3 linked regions of the Arabidopsis thaliana genome follow. The protein of the gene in region 2 purifies or fractionates together with the protein of the main gene of each other region. This does not show direct contact. Each region holds a gene or a part of one and is shown on either strand. Other genes may lie near its edges.

What was found.
Region 1: the proteins of CDKB1;1 (region 2) and CYCD4;2 purify together in Arabidopsis thaliana (affinity purification with western blotting, with the first as the bait; one study listed by BioGRID). This does not show direct contact.
Region 3: the proteins of CDKB1;1 (region 2) and CPN60A purify together in Arabidopsis thaliana (affinity purification with mass spectrometry, with the first as the bait; one study listed by BioGRID). This does not show direct contact.

Annotation. Positions count from the first base shown.
Region 1 is NC_003076.8:3,279,717-3,284,080, forward strand, and holds CYCD4;2 (cyclin d4;2), read right to left. Parts: upstream 2,838-4,364; 5' UTR 2,627-2,837; coding exon 2,393-2,626; intron 2,251-2,392; coding exon 2,164-2,250; intron 2,089-2,163; coding exon 1,990-2,088; intron 1,908-1,989; coding exon 1,703-1,907; coding exon of another isoform or gene 1,656-1,702; exon of another isoform or gene 1,562-1,655; coding exon 1,446-1,561; intron 1,051-1,445; coding exon 895-1,050; 3' UTR 771-894; downstream 1-770. UniProt on the Arabidopsis thaliana protein: May promote cell division.
Region 2 is NC_003074.8:20,057,701-20,062,188, reverse strand, and holds CDKB1;1 (cyclin-dependent kinase B1;1), read right to left. Parts: upstream 2,519-4,488; 5' UTR 2,308-2,518; coding exon 1,680-2,307; intron 1,586-1,679; coding exon 1,516-1,585; intron 1,313-1,515; coding exon 1,174-1,312; intron 1,032-1,173; coding exon 939-1,031; 3' UTR 701-938; downstream 1-700. Other genes in the region: AT3G54190 (Transducin/WD40 repeat-like superfamily protein), read left to right, coding at 1-88, 189-430; FIP37 (FKBP12 interacting protein 37), read right to left, coding at 2,793-2,948, 3,051-3,106, 3,190-3,259, 3,405-3,566, 3,841-3,894, 4,272-4,319, 4,440-4,488. UniProt on the Arabidopsis thaliana protein: May control G2/M (mitosis) phase progression. Plays a role in regulating seedling growth in darkness via regulation of hypocotyl cell elongation and cotyledon cell development. Plays a role in stomatal development. Required to suppress endoreduplication.
Region 3 is NC_003071.7:11,924,461-11,930,077, reverse strand, and holds CPN60A (chaperonin-60alpha), read right to left. Parts: upstream 3,633-5,617; 5' UTR 3,476-3,632; coding exon 3,422-3,475; intron 3,108-3,421; coding exon 2,924-3,107; intron 2,827-2,923; coding exon 2,705-2,826; intron 2,631-2,704; coding exon 2,423-2,630; intron 2,338-2,422; coding exon 2,192-2,337; intron 2,110-2,191; coding exon 1,803-2,109; intron 1,718-1,802; coding exon 1,266-1,717; intron 1,182-1,265; coding exon 894-1,181; 3' UTR 590-893; downstream 1-589. UniProt on the Arabidopsis thaliana protein: Binds RuBisCO small and large subunits and is implicated in the assembly of the enzyme oligomer. Involved in protein assisted folding. Required for proper chloroplast development.

The sequences.
Region 1 (4,364 bases), on a different chromosome or scaffold from region 2:
TAATCTCTGATATTTCACTGATAGCCACCGATCCCATTTTCTAAATATCTTTTATTGCCGTACCATTAATTTTGATTTCATTTTGTCAATAACACAATAATGAGCCTTAACCAACTCATTAAACAGAAGGGACCATGTACAACAAATCTGTGTTTGAAAACATTTAGGCTAAAGAACACAATTATGTTATTATAGTCAATGATAGCCAAAAAGAAAGTAGCCCTGGCATAAACAAATATGGTCTAGTTAATATAGTAGTGTATTGAATTATCTTTTTGACTCTATTTAGGCTAAGTAAGGCCCATGTTCATACACCGACCACGAAAGTGGTTTCCCACCAAGCTGATTTGAACAACCAACGATCTGAGTTGTGTAACACCCACCTCTCGGGTATAATCTCACTACCTTGTTGAAGTTTAATATTATATCATCATAACTAAAATTTTATTGTAGCAAGCCCATTTCTGAGGAATAAAGAGCCTATAATACAAATGGATCTGTACCTAATTAACCCCAAACTTTTCTCCAAAGAAGAAAAAATCTAAATGGGCTAATTGTAAGCCCAAAACTTTACGAGCCACTTTAAAAAAGGGTCCGTTGCACTTGCGATTAAAAAGTCAACTCTCGCTCAACTGTTTTTCCCCGCTATAATATTTGGCGGGAAGCCAAACAATAGCCTTACTTAACCATAACACTTTTTGTTTGTTAAAGTACTTACCATAAACATGCCATAACCATCTTATCTTCTTAATTATGCAATTTTTCTAAACCGCTTTTATCAAATATTACCAGGCTAAAAGAAAAGCAATTTTTTTCTGTGATTTTTCATTAAATAAAATCCAAATTGAGACAATGGAAAAAGAGAGAAATAGATAAAAAGGAAGATGAGGAAAATTAAGAAAGAGAAGTGAGGGAGGAGGAAACAGAAGCAGTAGAAAGAGAATGAGAATAACGACGACTCTTAAATTGTAAGACTGTATTATTTGGTGTTTGTGAACTTGAACTTGATCCGTCTCTCTCTATCATTTCACCAATCTTCTTCACTCTCTCCTGCACACACACACACACACACACATAAAAACCAGACAAGTAAAACGTAAAGCTTGAGCCCCTTTTTGGTCCCTACGAGGACCCAAGTCACTTAGTTTGATTGTGATTGGAACCATTAGATTTTGGAGTGACAAAAACAAAAGAAAATAACATTTTTACCAACATGTGAATGTGTCACGAGATTTCAAAACATGAAGACTATAATTGAACTCTTCTTTTTGGTCTACACACAAACTAGTTTTTCGAATAAAAAGGGATTTCAAAGAGGGGACATTAAAAGACAATGTGTGCATTAATGTATGCCTATATCTATGTCTCATGATTTTCCATATTTTTGACAATCTATTGAACCACTACTTTTGTAAATGAAGGAGACTTTTGGTGACTTCTCTTACCTTTTCAAGGCTTGAGAAGGAAGAAGAGAAGGAGAATTTGTCAAAGTGTTCTCCAGAAACAGAAAGAGCAACTGCAGCAGCAATCTCTGAAGCTCTAAACTCCAAGAAGTCAATACCTGCCCACACATCAACAATCTTTTTCACAACCACCATCAATCATTTCTAACCCCAAAAGTCCATAACCCCATAACTCAAAAGCAAAACTGAGGTTTAGAAAACCAGAACCCCTTTGAAAAAGAAGAGACCTAATCTATCACCTTTGGTTGTGCTGGCTATCACTTGTAGTGATCTAGTTACCAATCTGCTATGTGGTTCTTGATCATAGCCATTGATCTTACTCAGGAAGTATCTAACGTAAGAGCACGGTGTCACTGCCCGTAACCTCCATCTCAATACGTTCAACACCAAAAGTTCCATCCTTTGAACTGATTTAGCCTCAAACACGAACATGGGAGCTCCAACCTATTAATGTCATCATTACTACAATGTTACAACTTTGGTTTTAATGCTACACAATAAGAGACAATGAGATTATTAATAGAACCTGCAGCTGCATTAACTCTGGAACATTAGTTTCCTCTATTTTAGCTGCCAATGATAAACAAGCAACAGCCAACAATTGTACAGTCCAAGCTTTTCCACTCTACACAAGAATCATAAACCTTTCAATCCATAACCAAAGAGATTAATAAAATCTTAAGCCAAGGATGAAACTTACAGGTAAGTCATGAACAGATAAGAAACGATCCAAGTAGTTCATTGCTAGACATATACACAATGGTCCAAATTGAAGTTCCTCACAGGCCTGTAATAATAATCAAAGACACAAAACAAAGATAAGGCAAAAGTCATGTCTTTTTTCATATCAAAGTCATCAGATTATTGACTTGGGTAAGAATTGAGTCAACAGAAGAAACAAAGAAGAAATTTTTGTCTGATTTACTGACCTTCCAAATCCAACCAAGGGCTTGGATTCTGACATTGAAATCCAAATCTCCGTTTCTCAGTCTCTTGAGGTAATCATCTCTCGGTGAGTGTTGTCTCTCTTTCTCAATCATCTCTCTAACGATCTCTTCGCTCTCCAGAGGAAAACCCATCTGAAAAATCGATCTTGTGTCGACAGAATTGCTCTTCTCATCATCAAAATTGGATACAAGATTTGGTTCCATAAATTCAGCCATTATAGAGCGTCAAAAATTGTAGCTTTCTTTCGATCTATACAAATTTTACTGTTACAGGATTTGGAGGAAAAAATATGGTTTTTATAGTATAAGAGATTCAACTGAAGAAAAGATTTGGTCTCTGTTTTTATGTCTTTTCTAATTTTATTTTTGCTCTATTGTAGAATTTGCTTTGGGTCAAAACCAAAAAGAAAGAAGAGAGAGATGGGAGCTTTTAATATTGTAATTTGTAAGAGAAGAAAATGTTATTTTTGGTAAGAGATAAAATGTGAAGGAGAGAGGATAACAAAAGATTAAAAAGATAAGAAAATTAGCATTTTTATAATGGAAATAAATATTTTTATTCAAAATATGGGAAACTATATAATAAGGAAAATTTATGTGAAAAGGGTCAATGGTTGCTCTTTATTGGATACATTTTAAGATATATGGTATAACAACTTAGATTTTCGTTATTTTTAGATTGAAAATATGGCGAGTCATTCGTTTTCTAAGTTTTGATTTGAGAAAAAATCTTAGATTTATACTTCAACAAATTTAATGGATATGTATATGCAAGAGATTTTATGTAAATCTTGGTACATTAGTTACAATATATTCAAATTATTTTATATTTTAATAAAAATAATTATTATGGAAACACATCAAGTTTTAAACAGAAAATATTACATTAGATGATAAGAAATTGCAAATATGAGCGAGTCATTTGTGTTCTAGTTATTTTATGAATATATAAATATGAATACGAAAGACATTTTATGTAATTTTTGGTATATTAGTTAGAATATATTTGTATATTAGTTAGAATATATTCATATTATTTTATATTTTAATACAAAATTATCATGGAAACGCACATCAAATTATGAACAGAAAATATTACATTAGATAGTAAATTGCATTAAAATATTTTTCAGTGACAAAATGGAAACGAATTAGGAATTTGAAGTAGAGGCCAAGTCAATGAATATCTAGTCATTATATTAGTGTTGTTAGTTAGAAGCTAATATTGTTGCTGGTGAGGTGAGAAGTGTGAATATCGTTTGCACCAAACATATTCGTGGACTACAATATAATTAGCTTGAGAACACCGAATTTTCAGAACCCCCTGCATAAGCATAAGATCATGTGATTGTCATATGCAATCATTAGATAACTAACATGAGGAGACTCATCTCAAGTCTTTTTGGCTATCGAAAATCATTTGCTACATAATAGTTAAAAGGAGAGCACACATATTGTGATCCATTCATCTATTTGCATTTAGACTGAAAAGGAAAACTCTTAACAAAAGAACTGAAAACCAAAAAGTTCAAAGAAAAGAAACCCGTAAAAATAATACCACTACTTAAGAAAATCCAAATACAATTAAACTTCAAGAATAAACATCTTTAAAATCATATAAAGCTTTTAACATGACAAGCTTTATATAAATAATGAACGTGGACTGGAATCACGTGTGAGCGAGCAACTTTGGTTTTTACAGTATCTTTCTCTGAAAAGATTGGTGGAAGAAAAAGAAAAGTTGGAGTAATGTATGAGAAAACAACTAAATGTCTCAGAATTCGACCAAAGACTGTTATTTTTATAAATAGTTTTCATGCATGCAATGCAGACAAAGTGGTCCAAGTACACTTTTGATATTTTGCATCTCTTTGCGTAATGAGAGATTCGACTTCTTTGATACGTGTGTGCTTCTCTATGGTCGCATTCTTCCACAGCCTATGTTGCACAGATT
Region 2 (4,488 bases):
ACTAATAATATCTACATTACAAGTGATCAAGATCTGATCATCTCGTACTGCAAAGCAGATACCGAAGATCAGTGGATAGAAGGAAATGGTAAGAAAAATAACCCCTCAAGATAATATTAACCAGATATTATAACCTAACAAATCTCATTGATGGATATTGATTATTGGTGTTTTGTGGGATGATCCAGCGGGATCAATCAATATCAGCAATATATTGACTGGGAAATGCTTAGCTAAAATAACACCAAGCAGTGGGCCTCCAAAAGATGATGAGAGCAGCAGCAGTAATTGTATGGGAAAGAACTCAAAGCAAAGAAGAAACGCTGTAGCTGAAGCTTTGGAAGACATAACCGCTCTTTTCTACGACGAAGAACGCAATGAGATATACACAGGAAACAGACACGGCCTTGTTCATGTGTGGTCCAATTGATTTCACATACATCGTCATCGTTAGCTGCTACTACTACTACTACGAATGTATCATTTGGTTTCCTTCAATTGTGTGTAGCGATAAATCTTTTTAACTTAGTGTCTTTGAGCAGCCATCTGTGTTGTAAACCATTTGTGGGCAAGTGTGCGCGTCAGAATGCCAGTTGTGTACACTAATACCATTGTACGTAACATTTGGGTTTTGACAATTCTATGAAAGACCCTTTATTCCACCTGTAAGGTCTCACTTTAATTTTCAAAATTGACTTGATTCAGATAGTTGAGCATCAACTTTGTATGATTACACAAAAACAAGCGATTGATAGAAAATCATCTCATTGCTACCACACCATTGTGTTTTACATTCACTTGAGAATACAAGCTTTACCAGTTTCTTCTGAAAGACTACAAATCTCTAAACCAAACATAAGACACTAATGTGTCGGAAACAAAGATAGATCAAATGTTTAAATTCACCAAGACGATGACAACAGATACAGCAATGAACTTCAGAACTGAGACTTGTCAAGGCTGTCAAAATATGGGTGATCAAGTGCTGTTTTTGCTGAAATTCTTTCGGCTGGATTGTACTTGAGCATTTTCTGCAATTGTACAAACATAAGCTCAATCAGAAAGATTTAACCAAGCAATTCAGCTTAGGAAAAAAAGAGGGAAGCAGAAGCAAGAGGTAACAATATTAGAGCAACTTTGCAACAAAGCTATGGTCATCAGGGAGTTATTTACCGTGAGAAGATCAACTCCTTGAGGTGAAAGAGAAGGAACAGCAAGAGTTAAGTCTTGCGGCTCCCACTTAGGGTAAACATGCCAGTCACGCAGTGTGGAAACACCCGGCCATTGCTGCTCAGTTGGTGTTCCTAGCAACCTCCATGAACCAAATAGGAACCATTAGTAAAGATCATAGTCTCTATTCAAGAATGCTAAATCCATTGAATAATTGGTCAAAGAAACCTGGACTATATAGAATCAGTTGTTCTCAATTGGTAAGCTAGCATATCATTCAGTGATGCAATTCACACTGAAACAGGACAAAACCAGAAGAAGTAATGGAAGGTAAATTCAAAATACCTGAAGATATGAAGCAATTGCTGAAACTCAGAATCACCAGGGAAAAGAGCTTGCCTCCGAACCATCTCAGCTATACAAATTCAAAGATTGAAACAGCATAAATACAAAATCACATCGCAGAGAGACGAATTCAAAAACATAAAAGCATAATTGAGACTACTAACCAAAGATACAACCAACAGACCACATGTCAACACCAGTTGAATAATGAGTAGATCCAAGAAGAACTTCAGGAGCTCTATACCAAAGAGTAACAATCTCATGCGTATAAGACTTAAGAGGAACAGTAAAAGCACGACCAAGACCCAAATCAGCAATCTTAAGAAGCTCTTTATCTTTCACCAGAAGAAGATTCTGCGGTTTAAGATCACGGTGAAGCACACCATGACTATGACAATGCGCAACACCTTTACAAAGCTGAAACATCAACTTCTGAATCAAAAAAGGCTCAAGAGGCTTAGGATTAGGTCCTTTCCTATACGAATCGATGAATTTCTTAAGATCAGTATCGAGATACTCGAAAACGAGATAGAGATTGGATTTGGTAGATTGAGATTTGGTTGATGGTTGATGAACATGTTCGACGCAGAGTAATCGAACAACATAGATCGATGTTGATAACATCTGGAGAAGCGAGATCTCACGAAGAGCAGTTGGTGGAATACCTTCTTCGTCCATCTCGAGACGAGTTTTCTTCAGAGCAACAAGCTTACCAGTTCCTTTCTCCATCGCTTTGTAGACTTTCCCGTATGTTCCTTCTCCGACCTTCTCTAGCTTCTCGTACTTCTCCATTTCTGAGAGGTTTCGTAAAATTGAACTGTGTTGGTTTCTGGACTTTTGATTAACCCTATTATTTGATCAGATTAATGAAGATGATGGATTGTGAGAGAGAGAGAGAGAGATGCTTTCGCTAAGATACTTCCACGTCACTTCGTTTTTCCCGCTCCTTTGGATTTTGAATTCGTTCGTGACAACTGCAACAGATTAACCTAAAGTCGTGACCTCTGTGAATGTTTTTGGGGAAAACTAATTGGACTCACTTATTTTGGTCTAATCTGATATCTACTCAGATGATTTGCGTGAGTTGACGAGTTCAAATTCTTCACGAGTTATATCGGGAAGCCACATATCGATATCGAAACACCAATGGTGCGAATTAAAACATATTAATAGAAGATGAAGATTAGAACTTTCTGTTTCATGAAACAGATAACGAATGAAGAAATGTGATTTTGAACTTCAAAATGTACAAAACATTTTTTGAAAGCTACAAATTCCTATTCTCCACCAGCAATTTCTTCTTTTGCATCTTCATCAATTTCATCAACTTCATCTTTCTTGTCACCTACTAGCTCAGACACAATTTCCAGTCCTTTCTTTACTCTCTCTATCTCCTTCTCTTTCTCTTCCAGTTTCTCTTGCAATATTATCACCTGAGATTTATCAAAGTCACATATTTCCAACAAAACCATAATCATTCTTCCGTTTTAAGAAAAATCTTGAGGAATTAAGAGATAAGAGAAAAGGATCAACACCGTTTCATTTGATCTCTCAACATCATTAGTTAATTCCTCCATGTGTTTGTACAGTCCTGCATTCCACAAAAATCCTCAAATCCAAATTGCAAACTCTACAAAAATCTTTGCTATAACTTAATATCAACATATGACTTACCTTCAAATTGACTTCTAAGTTCCGCGTTTTGAGACTTCTGCATTGCAAGCTTTATTGCTAGTTCATGAATCTGCCATTCCACATGAACATAGGCAAGCATCAATTTCTTTACCCTTTTCAGGGAATCATGTTTTACAAAGGTTGAAGAAGACTACTGCTTTACTATATAATTCATATAATTCCAGATTGAAGACTGAGAGTAGAACAAACTATACCTTTCCTTCGGCAGCTTGGTGCCCAATCTCCTCATTTTCCTCTTGCAGGGTTCTGCACTTTGCCATAAGCATCTTTCCATTCTTGCTTTGAGGAGTAAAAGTAACTGCTGCAATGTTGTCCTGGAGTTCCTTGATCTTCTTGTCTTTTTCCTCTACTAGATTCTGCATAATAGAAACATGGAATCAAACTTCATCTACTCTTTACTTAACTGCAACAAATGTACATTAACAAAAAGTTGGGAATGTTCGTCCTCAACTGTATCTACTACGACAGTGTCAGCTATCAGTTATTAAGGAATTATTCTTTCAGGCCATTCATAACGAAAGCGGAATTTTGTTCCGTAGATACAGTTTGGATTATCTAAGGATATATTACGACAAATACATCCTTATGAAAAAGTAGTCTAAGGGTAAATAGAAACGAGTAGGTGCAGACCTTCAGACGTGAAAATTCTTCATGAATTGCTGGATCCAGTAACAACCTCCTCGCCTACAAAGGTAAACAAAGAATAAATAATCTACACTGCTATCTGATCATGACAAGCTGCTAAATGACCATTGCAATTCAAAATTTATAGCCATTTCTTCTATTCAGACTTGTTAATAATTCAGATGCCAGGTAAAGGTTTACAAGAAACATGCGCTTATCATCGTATTCAGACTGAAATCTAAAAGGCAAGGAAAAGGTTTCCCTCTACATGCATCAAGGTCGAGGATGACCGTCATAAAAGGTACACTACGGCATAAAAAGCGGACTATGCCTAGAAAAGTCCAAGTTACTTCAACAGCTAACTTTTTTCACGATTTGTATTGTTGGCACAATTGTATAAATTATTCCAGAATCAAAACATTGGGAGAACTATATACCTGCATTGACGCTGGCTTGAGTTGAGATTTCAAATCGCGAACAGCTGACTAGAAATACAAAATACAAGACTGTGTTTAGCGACATCTATTCTATGTAATGGTCAAGAAAACATGTGATAGCATCAGTCAGGAATCAAAGTGGTAGGCAATGAGTTTCTCGAGAATTACCTTCAATTCTGCCATTTCTTGTTCCCGTTTCGCATATTGTACAATGCAT
Region 3 (5,617 bases), on a different chromosome or scaffold from region 2:
TGGCTAAAATGTATGTCAAGAATTTTTCCCCTTCTACTCTATCTCTATATCCTTTCCACTCGAATATCTCTAGCTGCGATGACAAGCATCCGGGAACAAGACTCGGTTGATTCCATCAAAATGGAAGATCCTCGGTTTTGTAGATATATCTCTGAGAAGCAATAAGGGGTATATATTAAGCAAAATTTTGACTAGTATTTTAGTCCATCAAAGCTAGAACAAGAAGAGGAGGAAGAGAAGGATACATACATAATCATCTACCAAAAATTCTTTTAGTTTTGGAGCAGTTCCAAGTCAAAGTACGAGTGGTTCCAACGAGTCTGATCTCCCTGTATATATACTTAACTTTACAAGAATATATGGATTGTGATGTCCTGTGAAAGTATTGAAGATAACTGAATATGAAGGAACAATTGAAGAGCTAGAGGAAATGAGACATTTCATAGAGAAACTGTCATGTCTTGTGCTTGTCAAAGTTCGTGCCTGTGCAATAAACGACAAGGAGAAGTATCGAATCACCGGAGATCTGCTAATGGTTCGTAGATCATCGAAGTGCAATATCCAGATCAAGTTTTATGAGAAAACTAGTAAAGGCATGAAAAAACATTGTTCCCTCCTAGTTTAATAGTATAGTAAGTTGGAACATTATTCAGTTTGTACGCATATTTGCTTATTGTTCTGCTAAACTACTCTCGCTACATATAAAATGTTTGGTCGCATACATAACCATTTTCTGCAATTTCCATTGGACAAAAAAGATGATAATTATTTCTCGATACTGTTAACAAACTACTCATATTCCCCCAAAAAAGAAAAACATTGCAGATAAATGGGGATGACAAATGTGCAAAAAGACAAAGATGCCATTGTGATGATAAGATGTTGTGTTTTGATTACACCATGAGACCCTCAGGAGCAGCAGCAGCAGGAGCCTTGGGTTTCGGTTTGTCAACAACAATGGCCTGAGTGGTCAGTACCATTCCTGCTACGGAAGCAGCGTTCTGTAGCGCACATCTTGTCACTTTAGCCGGATCAATCACTCCAGCTTCGAACAGATTCTCATATGTATCAGTCATTGCGTTGTACCCATTCTCCCAATCGCTGAACATAATCTTTTCCACAACAACTTCTCCTTCAACTCCAGCGTTCTGAGCAATAAGAGCAGCTGGTGACAGCAATGCCTGAACTCAAAACATAAACCCTTATAAGATAACTAGTCACAATTGGTTACAGAACAAATACTGAACCGAAAAACTAAATGCTACCTTTTGTACTATGTCAGCTCCCAAACGTTCATCAGCATCCTCAAAAGTCTCCTTAATGGCGGGAATAACAGTGGAGAGATGCACCAAAGCAGCACCACCACCTGGAACTATGCCTTCCTCGATAGCAGCAAATGTTGCGTTCTTTGCATCCTCGATACGAAGCTTACGGTCCTCAAGCTCAGTTTCAGTTGCTGCTCCGACTTTAATGACAGCAACACCTCCAGATAGCTTCGCAATTCTCTCAGCGAGCTTCTCTGAGTCATACACAGAATCAGTCTCGAATAGTTCTTTCTTCAGCTGAGCAATCCGAGCTTGTAATTCGTCCTTGGAAGCTGCATCTGCAATGAGGGTAGTCGAATCTTTGCTAATCGTGACTTTTCGGGCAATACCCAATTGATCTATGGTTGCGTTTTCAACCAGTAAGCTCATGTCCATGGCTAGGTACTCAGCTCCTGAAAAACATACAAAATGATAAAAAGTTTAGACCATAACAGAGAGAAAGTAAAAGTACTAAACGCACGCGAAATCTGCATATACCTGTCAAGATTGCAATATCTTGAAGCATGGCTTTTCTTCTTTCTCCAAATCCTGGCGCTTTAACGGCAACAACATTGAGGACACCACGAAGCTTGTTCACGACAAGGGTAGCTAAGGCTTCACCAGTAACATCCTCTGCAATAATCAACAACGGAGCACGAAGCTGAGTGGTCTTCTCCAAAATAGGGATGATGTCTTTGATCGCAGTGATCTTCTGATCAGTGATCAATACCCTAGCATTCTCAAACTCAGCTAGTAGTTTCTCAGGGTTTGTAACAAACTGAGGCGAGATGTAACCTCTGTCAATCTGTAAATAATCAAGTTAGTCATTGGCAATGAATGGTGAATAAAATTACAGTTGAAGAGAAGCAAGACAAAAAAACTCATACCTCCATCCCTTCTTCAACTTCGACCGTGGTCTCAAAAGAAGATGAAGATTCAATGGACAAAACACCATCAGGTCCAACTTTGTCGATGGCATCAGCAATCATTGACCCTATAAGGTCATCATTTCCAGCAGAGATAGAAGCCACAGCTGGAAAAAAAAAAAAGAACAGATTGATCAGTAAAAGAAATCAAACATTGCTGCATCACAAGGAAGGTCACTGCAAAGTTAGTACCTCTGATGTCATCACGACCTTTCACGGGCCTAGCTTTCTTCTGAAGCTCTTCGATCAGACCTTGAACAGTCTTATCAATTCCCCTCTTGAGTGAAACGGGATTCGCACCAGAAGTGACGCTCAACAATCCATGTTTGATTATCTCCCGAGCAAGGATAGACGCAGTGGTTGTCCCATCACCAGCAGAGTCATTAGTCTTACTCGCAACCTACCACATAACAACACCAGATTACCGCACCGTATAAATAGCATTAACAGAGACAATAACAAAGCTACACCAACCTCACGAATAAGCGCTGCACCAGCATTTTCCATGGCATTAGGTAACTCAATAGCTCTAGCAATGGTGACTCCATCATTCACAACCTTAGGACTTCCAAATTCATCCAACACAACATTCCTCCCTTAAGAATAACAAATGAAAACACCAAGATAAGTCGAAAGATAAATAACACAGATGAAGATGGAAAGAGTAAAGGAGCTACTAATATTAACAAATACCTCTAGGGCCAAGAGTGAGACCAACACAATCAGCAAGCTTATCAATACCAGCTTGTAGAGCAGCTCTAGAGTGCTGGTCAAAAGCTATTTCCTTTACATTAGCTCTAACACTAAAACGTCTGATTGTCCTCTTGTTGTAGCTAACTCTCTGACCTTGCTGCTGATTTCCTCCTCCCAACTTACTCTGTATACCCACAACATCAATAAAGCAGATTCATTAACATTAATCTCAATCAGTTTCTTCTAATTCCCATAAAAATTAACCTTTTCTCACCAACCCAGAAACCAAATAGAGAAAAGCAATTGAATTGAAACAGAACAAACTAAAGGGTCAAATTCAATCACTTTCTTCAAAAACCCAATAAACCAGATAGAGAAAGGTTTTTGAAAATAGATAACACTGAAGGGTCAAATCCAATCAAAACAAAGTAATGAAAGATGATTCATTTTCTTCTTTAGTAAGTAGCTAAGGAAGGTAAAAAGGAACAAACTTTGTACCTGACGGGAAGAACAGAGGACGGAGGCGGAAGAGAGAGCGTTTGCAGACGCCATTTTGAGAGAAAAGGAGGGAGCTTTTTGAGGAACGTTCTGGATTGGTGTGGATAAGGAAGTGGTTAGTGTAAACGAATAGTGTGGGAGGAGGGGTTAGGGTTTATTAGATAAATGGAGAGAGTAGCTGAGAGAAAAAGGATCCAGAAGATTCTTTGCATTCGTAACGAGAGAACCGTTGATCTTAATAAGCCTTTTTCACCTACTTCTATGGGCCTGTTTGTCTCACTGTTTATGGCCCAATAATAGAAACAGTACTCAAGAAACTTTTATAGTTTGTGTATTCCAAATTCGTTTTTATCCATTCTCTTACTGAATGTACTCACTCTGTTTTAAAATATAAGAGGTTTAAGGTAAATGGATACATATTAGGTCATTTTGTATATAAAAAATAGTATTTAGATTTTGTTAAAAAAAATGATAATGAAAACTGCAAAATATAAATAGTCACAAATAGTCAAATTAAATTTAAATTTAAACTTGTAAAACATCTTATAATCTGAAACAAAATAAAATCCCTAAAACATCCAATATAATGAAACAAAGGGAGTAATATTTAGACCAAACTAATAAGTACAATTTAAGACTTGTGAAAACCATGAGATTATAAAATACATGTTAAGTGGATGAAAACACCTAGCTTAGAGTAGATTTACCCGCTAAGTAAAACAGAAACTCTCATAAAGACAACAGTTACTACTTTTCTAAACAGAGAATAGACTCCAAATCACCTAATTGCTACATGATTAATTGATTTAGTTAAGCCAATACAATTTGTTTCTAAATCTTTTTTCATATAAGTATTGCTTGTTGTACGCATCATATACCATGCATTAAATTAGTTTCCCATGAATAAATTCACTAGTTACGGAAAAGAAAAGTTGGGAAGTGAGATAATAAATCTGACAAAAGTGGCAGTTTCAACTCTGAAGCGTCAATCACATAAATAGTTGCAGTTTGGCGTTGGGTTTGATTTGATTGAGTGAATTGACCAAATAAACACACTTAATTAATAACAAAAGGGAAGTTACGTAACACAAAAATTATAAATAGGGACGTCTACATGTATTATTCCTCAAAAGATGCAGCTTACCATAAGATGACGTCCATATCTTTAATGGAAACCGTGCCGTAAAATTGACTGCCAAAATGTACAATGTAGAAAACATGAGTAAACTAACAGTTGTCCTGATGTACAAAAAAACACACTAACAGTTGTCCGATGAAAAGAAAGAGACATGTAATTTAAAGCATTACGACAAAAAGAGTAAATAAATAACACTGTTGTTAACTTGTTTTAGTAATCTATTGTAATTATTTTCTTGAGTGGTTGTGATTGAAACGAAACAATTTAGTGGACTACTAAGCAAAAATAGTTAGGATATATAGAGCATGCAACAAAAGACATGCAAAAACATAATTTGGTTTGATGTTTTGCATATGTGTTTATAGTTTTCTAAAACTTAAAGTGCCTCATATAAACAAATAATTAAGTTAAAAGTGTATTAAAATTCTGAAATTTAACCACATTCCTATGTTCTATATGAAAAAACAATTATTAACCATTAAACTACCATAAAATAACTAATACTTTATAGACTTATGATTTTATTTTATTTTATTAAAGAATTTAGTTAAAATTAATTTTAGGGCCGTTAATTTTATTGTTTTTTAGATATTCCGTAGTTTATTGCATGTTTCAATTTGTATAAAAATGTGTTTCATTTGGATATTGATACATGTGTATCAGTTTAAAGAAGAAAATAATTTTCGTGGAAAAAAACCGACAAAATAGATTTTTAAGAGAGTAAGTACAGTACCGTGTAATAGAAAGACTGATAAAACCCACCTTAATACGTCAAGAAAAAAACCATTACAGATTTTACGGCTTTACGCAATCATTATTCTCTCTCAGTCTCTCTCAGTCTCTCTCTCTATCTCCCACGGTCGGTTTACATACATATCTAAACTCACCACCGGAGCTCCGACGATTTTTCCGGCCACCTTCCGATCGGTATGTGTTGTGTTCCCTTTTTTCTTCTGAGATCTATCTGTCTTTATCACTTCCACTTACCTTATTCATTTTGTTTCTCCTCGCGAGTATTTGTTTTGCTCATGGTACTTATAGTTCCAAATTGAAATCTT